2 linked regions of the Tribolium castaneum genome follow. The protein of the gene in region 1 interacts with the protein of each later gene in a pairwise test. Links are inferred from orthologs where the notes say so. Each region holds a gene or a part of one and is shown on either strand. Other genes may lie near its edges. The genes, in order: RNA polymerase II-associated protein 1 and Polr2L.

Evidence for each region.
Region 2: the proteins of RNA polymerase II-associated protein 1 (region 1) and Polr2L interact in binary tests that used the Homo sapiens proteins (3 or more experiments, as listed by UniProt). The link is inferred for Tribolium castaneum from reciprocal best matches to the Homo sapiens genes RPAP1 and POLR2L.

Annotation. Positions count from the first base shown.
Region 1 is NC_087395.1:23,134,643-23,139,232, forward strand, and holds the start of RNA polymerase II-associated protein 1, read left to right. Parts: upstream 1-1,679; 5' UTR 1,680-1,762; coding exon 1,763-1,886; intron 1,887-1,932; coding exon 1,933-2,596; intron 2,597-4,097; coding exon 4,098-4,229; intron 4,230-4,276; coding exon 4,277-4,590. Other genes in the region: replication protein A 70 kDa DNA-binding subunit, read right to left, coding at 1-172, 228-340, 423-627, 672-1,035, 1,088-1,344, 1,392-1,430. UniProt on the Homo sapiens protein: Forms an interface between the RNA polymerase II enzyme and chaperone/scaffolding protein, suggesting that it is required to connect RNA polymerase II to regulators of protein complex formation.
Region 2 is NC_087394.1:15,049,768-15,052,118, reverse strand, and holds Polr2L (RNA polymerase II subunit 10), read left to right. Parts: upstream 1-1,609; coding exon 1,610-1,813; downstream 1,814-2,351. Other genes in the region: Sumo (small ubiquitin-related modifier 3), read right to left, coding at 726-845, 932-949. UniProt on the Homo sapiens protein: DNA-dependent RNA polymerase catalyzes the transcription of DNA into RNA using the four ribonucleoside triphosphates as substrates.

The sequences.
Region 1 (4,590 bases):
TCAAAATGTGGGTTTCCCGTATTTCTGGGTCAATTTTAAGCAAACTAGTGCCCATCAAAGTGATACTTTTCGCACCTCTAAATTCATAAATCTTTGCATTTTTAACCAAAATCACCGGATTACCGGTGACTGCGAACGACTCTGCCTGTGAGCCCCACAAATTCAGAGAAATCTGCCCAAAAACACGAATTTAAAAAAAAACACCCAAAAAAAACAAAAAAAATTACCGCGGTTTTGGTCTGATCGACTAACACGAGCTGTCTTTTCTGCATCTCGCGATTGGTTGATTTCGCCACAAAACTCTGCAGTTCCGAAATTGTCTTGCAAACGCCGATCACGTCTAAAATACTCATTCTCTAAATTTAAAACGTCGGCAACCAACAATACACGCATGCACACAGTGCTGGGTTTTACCCAATTACCAACAATGGTCCCAGCTTCCATGACCGCTACTTTATCAATCGTGGTGAAATTGTACGTTATTTGTGGGATGATCTCATTGTCGTCATAACTCGGCTCGATGATCGTTTCCGGGGTGAAGTACATTTCAAACTGGTGCTTTAAGGAGCAAAATTGGCGATTGATTGGCTGGAGCTGGCATTTGCTAATGTAGTAAACCTTGTCGACCTGGAATTTCGCACGTGATTGGGGGAAAACCTTGGGTGGTTTACCTCAAGGCGATCGAAAAACTTATCAACAAGGTCCCGGAAAGCGGTGCATCTGATTTCGCCCCCTTTGTCGACCAAATCGATGCTGAAAAGCTTACCCTCCCCCTTGGCATTGCTCCAGTTTCTCACATTCGTCTTATTAACGACTCTCGCCCTAATTATCCAGTTGTTGTGAAAGGGGTTTAAGCTAGCTATGGGACTGATTGTTTTTGAGGAAAATGAGCCATTTATGCACTCATTTCTCTTGATAACGTCACTCGATTGCGTCAAGGTTTCAGAGTCGGATAAAGAGACAGGGTTTCCGATTATCTGACCTACAAACTCCCCACGCGCAACCACTTCCAGTTCCAAAATCGCAATAACTCGCCTGTTTTAGCAAAACAATGCAAATTGCCAAAATAATTGGTGGCAATACGTACGCATCTATGTTATTCTTGTTTTTTATAACGTTGGAAAGATAGCGCTTTAGTTTAATAATCGTAAACACCTGCTCTAAGACGTGGGGCAAAGTCTGGTCGTTCTTTGGCACAGTAAACACTGCAATATTTACTTTGTGCAAACCGTCCGAAATCATCAGGCGTAAGCGCGAGCTGCTGTCGCTACCCCCTGGAGACATTTTTTTAGTCCCCAAAATTTGAACAAGAGGGTCAATGACCTCGCCCCCGTACATAATCGTCTGAAACAAAAACACGTTGCGAAGGCTTATCACCGCGAGAAATGCACCTGAAGCGCCCCTTCTGATAATTTGTACGCAGAAGCCATCACAAAATGCACTAATATCACTGAATTTTTACAATAATTAAAAGACAAAATTCGCAAACTTTGACTTGCCGCAAGAATGGCGTCGGCAATGCTGCCAACCGGAAACTATCACTCCAATTTGGGCAAAAATCGCCCCTTATTTAAATCAAACATTTAGGGGTGAATGTATTTCCTCGTATTTCTAATTTTTCTCGGTATTTACGCTTGTGGTTATTTCATATTCGGGTAAAATTTGCGTCCAGTGGGGCCAACCCGGCAAAGTTAAAGTACCAGTTGGTTGTTTTCAAAGCGAAATTTTCGAATCTTGCGGTTTTTTTTTGGATTTTTTAATAATGTATGCGCGACCTAAACCTGGCGAGACGGAGGAAGACCTGCTCCGCTTGCAGGAAGACTTCAACCGGGCGCAGTCCGAGAACAAGATCAAGTTGGCTGCGACCGTTATTAGCGAAAAGCGAGGTTAGGTCTTGCATTTTGTTGATTTTCCGGAAATAGTGCCTTTTAGACCAAACGGCTGCGCCTGTCGCCACCGACATCCAGGACCAGATCGCCAACACGTTCGAGGCAATTCCCGACGCGACAAATGTGGGAAAAATCGTGGAAAAACTGGCGGACAAGACAGCTTTGCCTCTGTTAAATTTTAGCACAAATGGGGGCTTCCCCAAGCCTAAGCGTCGCGACGCGAGTTGTGAGGCGTCGAGCGATGGGGGTAGTATTTTCGCGCGGCAGTTCAAACGCATGAAAGGGGGCAAAGGCCCCCCTAAGCCAGTACCAGAAGTGGCGCTTCCGAGCCAAAGTTTTGTCTTGAGTGGCTCAGAAAAAGACTCCATCCATGCGGAGAATGTCCAGAAGATGAGGGGCATGTCCGAGGAGGAGATTTTGGAGGAGAGGGAGCGACTTATGGCAACTATGGACCCTGCGATTATTGCGTTTTTGAAGTCACGTCGACGGGAACAGGACGCGAGAATGAATCGAACGCCGACGATTCAGGAACAGAACGAAGCGGCTGAAAATATGGACGTTGACGAGATTGAAACTGCGAGCGAGATTTTGAAGCAACCGCAAGCGGAAAAGTGGCTCAATTTCAAGACGCTGGAGACGGGGAAATTGGCGTGGATGAAGGGTGTGGAAATGCCGAAAATAGACAAAAATAAGAGCTTCGAAGCCAGGTTTATAATGCGTTCTAACTGCTGATCAAAGTGGCCTGTGACTGGTGTTGCAGTTGGAAAACAACTGATTTTTTTTGCCCCAAAACGTGCTTAAACTTTTCGGCGTAATATTGTCAAGACAATTTACGCGAAGTTGTTTTAAAAACGAAAAAAAAAATGCAATTTTTTATTTTATTTTGTGCTCTAAGGCCTGAAAATGACAAAAAAACACCATTATTAATGTTTTCGTTTTTTTAATCTTGAAAAATAAATGATTATGGTTAAAAAACAAACTAAATCGACCGAAACTGTTGAAATGAACATGAATTTATATCCAACTTGGTGGATTCTCAGCCAATTTCTCGAAAAAAAATTGTTTTTACCTCAAAAAATAACACCATTTTCTGATTAATTTATGATTCTTTGGCGTATTTTAAAGGAAATTTTGCGAAGTAATTGCGTTTACAAATATCAGATTTATTAACATGACAAAAATTATGTAATCTTTGATTAAAGATTATTTTCCTGCCTGTTTTGTGGTGCTTAGAGTCCACAAAAACAGTATAAATAACGTAATTTTCGACCAAATTTTGTGGATTTTTTTTAACAGAACTTTGTCAAAATTCAAGATAACCAAAGTGAAACAAAAAAAAAACAATATCAATGAGTAAAACTACTTGAAAAATACAGTTTTCTGCTTATTTATAACAAAATATTGCAAAATAATTGCATGTTTTTGACTGCAGAACGTTCTAAAAGCGCTAAGAAAAAGCAAAAATAATGTAATTTTTGACCTAATTGTTGTTTCTGCGAAATCTTACAAAAAAAAACTCACAGTTAAGTCCGCAACCATGCGTAAAGGTTTCAAAAAATAAAAATAAGCTCATTTTCGACCAAATTTATTAGTGGGTTGTTGGTTCATTTTTCTCAAAATTTGTAAAAAAATCAAGCATAACAATCTAAAATTTAGTAATTTTGCAGCGGGTTTTATTAAAATTTACAGAAAAAAAATACATCTACTTCAGAAAGGTGACTTGTTTTTTACGTAAATTTGCTAAATAAATACATTTACGACTGTAAAACGGCGTAAGATATATTTATTATTAGAGAAACCTCACTTAAATTGTAAAACCTTAGTTCTAAAGGACTGAAAATGGCAAAAATACTACCGTTTCCGATCAAGTTCTGTGTTTTTTCGGCTTATTTTAAATAAACAAAATCAACTTTGATTTATTGTCGTGATTTTTCTGTATGTAACAAATTGCAAGGTAATTTAATATCTGTTAAAAAAAATAAAGAAATAATATTTTCGGCGTGGTTTAATGAAAACTCAAAATAAATAGTACCGTCTTTTAACTAGTTCGCTGACTTTTTGACTTATTTTTGGTATTTCTGGACGCAAAATGTGCAAAAATTAAAAGACTGACTAAGCGTTGCCAACTTAATTCTCACAGTCAGGGCCACTTTGGTCAGAATAATGAAAACATTTGCAACAAGTGAGCAATTTCAACGCTGTTTAAAGGTTTGATTTTGAAGGCTGGGTCCTGCCATACACCGAAAAAGAAATCAGCGAAAAATCTAGGGTTTTGTACCACCATGGCGAAGAGGCCGGCAGGCCTGGATACACTTTACAGGAACTCTTTCAATTATCACGGTATTTATGTGCAAAAAAACACCAAAATATTAATTCCCCAAATGTAGGTCGAACGTAATCCAACAAAAAATCATCGCGCTGAACACCATTGCCAACATTCTGTCTTTACACTCAACAGGGGTGTACGACGACGTTATCGACTTGCCCCTTGAGCAGATTTTCTTCGTTTTGCGTTTCTGTCTGGACGACAACACGCCCGCGGTCCTAAACGCCGCAATTAAAGCCATGAGGAATTTATTTTACAGCAAAGTCGACGAGACTTGCTTGGACTGTCTCCTAGGTTTTGGGCTAAGTCAGGTGCAGCCTGTCTTGGCCGTAGACAACGAAGAGGACGACGACCGAGTCAACGACCAACAATTGG
Region 2 (2,351 bases), on another chromosome or scaffold:
TTACGGTTTTTTTCGGTTAAATTTCGAAAATAGGACGCGTTTACAGTAAAACCGCTGTAGCTTTTCATCGTTTATCGATGGTTTTAGCCTAATAATTCTTCCTTTGTGATGTAATTATTTGACACATTTGACATTTTCAATCGAAACTCCGACAGTGTTGTCACATTCCACAAATGAGTTATGACTGGCCAGGGCAGTACATTCACAGTAAAAATTTTTGGGTTGGTTACTGTGGATACTATACACTGTGGCACCATATATTCTTTTGGCCTAACTTTTTGCTCCGATTGTAAGGCCCCAACTACCTTAAAGTGATTCTCTCTACTGTAAGTAATTAACACTACACACGCAAAATTGTTAAATTAAAAAATTAAATTAAATATTGAATTACGAAAATTTCGTTACTGTTTTCGACATAGTTCAAAAGTCGTCACCAGAGGGCGTCTAGTTAATTTTATTTCCGAATACAACCAATCACTACGCACAGGAGTGAACAAACATTAACAAATCCTGGTTTAGACATTTAAGAAGTTGAGTTGCAACAAATGTGGCGGTTTCAGACGTCCAAACATGAAAAAAATGCAAATCATGGCACATTAAAGACTTGGAGAAAGGATGCGGCTTTTGATACATTTTAGTAAACACAAGTATGAATCACAATCCATGTTCTTACTCATTTGTCCCAGTAATAAACTAAAGAATCTGAGATAAAGTGTAACACTTACCGCTCTTTCACAATAAGCCCCCATCAGCTTCCTGAGAGGGGTGTGCTTTTTGATCTTGAACTGGACGACAGCATTATCTTGTCCCAGTACTTTCAAGTTGATATGTTCCGTTTCATTGCTCTGCAAAGTCCCAAAAACGTGAGTATCAGTTCAAAATTACGGGAAAAAAACCTCGTTTATGGTTAGGAAAGAAAAGTCATGTTTACCTTCTTTTCGTCACCCATATTTGGCAAATTTGGTTGTGGCTTGTAGGAGGGTCTGGGGCCGAAGTTGATGCACAAATGTAAACGGTTTTAGTGGAATTTGGTGCACTTTTAACCGTTTTATCAACAGACACGCAGCTTGCCGCTAACAAATAATGGCCGGCTTGCTTGCAAAGTAGCGGTAACTGCTCGCCGGAAGTGACTACGCGGTTAGTCAAAGTCGGCTTTAGCTGTTCAAACTTCACACTTCCGCTTGAAACATTTGTAGAAATTTACCACTTCACGTTGACAAAACGTGCTTGAAACAACGCGGTAAATTAATACAAAAAATTAGGCTTTGTTTTCAATATAACTTTCACATGTTTTCTGCGATTTTTTAATAATTTAATCAAGAAATTAATCCTTATTTGTTATTGCCGTCGACAGATGGCAGGCCACAAGCTTCAATTGATCAGGAGCACCAATATTCCAGAAGTGAAGAACCCAGAAATTCACGAAATTAGAAATCAAAAAGCTTCTAGAAAAGCGCAGTTAAAGCTTTTTGAAAGTAATCTAATTTAAAGTCTAAATACCAACGCAACAAATTTTGATTAAGCGAGAGTGTGAGGTACAGAATTTGGTTAATTTTTGATGTGTCAGTGAAAAATTAGGTTATATTTTTTCAGGTTTTGTCGAGACAAGATGATTATACCGGTTCGTTGTTTTACTTGTGGGAAAGTTATTGGAAATAAATGGGAGGCTTATCTTGGGCTTTTGCAAGCTGAATATACGGAAGGAGATGCTTTGGATGCTTTGGGTTTGAAGAGGTACTGTTGCAGAAGAATGCTTCTTGGACACGTCGATCTTATTGAAAAGTTATTGAATTATGCTCCTTTAGAGAAGTAATCTGTAGTAGTAAGTCTGTTAAGTAAGTGTAGGTGTAAGTTTAATTTTATGGCATGTAAAAAGGCGCGTTTTTGAATAAATTTTACTATTATGCCTTGTCTTTCATAAACCAGCATTTTTGCAACATCCTATTTAGTTTTTCCTACTTCACGAGTTCACGGTAACTTTTTTGTTTATTTTTATAAAGTTATTCAAAAAAATTGCATTATCTTTGTTAATTCAACCATGTCTAGAGGGTCAAGAAAGTGTCGATATGGTGATAAGGGATGTCCAGTAAAGTTTAGAAATGAAGTCAGATCTTTTCCCAAGCAACTTGATTTTTTTATCATTCTTGTATTTGTTTTCTTTAGCAACCATTTTAATTGTTGTTTTGTTTCCAGTGATTAATAATATTAATATGATTAATATTAAATTATTTATTGTATAATTTGCTAATTTAAGTGTTTGTAACACCATAAGACAATAATTGTTGGTGATTTTTTTAAAAGATACAGGGTGACTCAGGGGTGCGGTCTGTAACTTTTTTGTTACTTGAAAT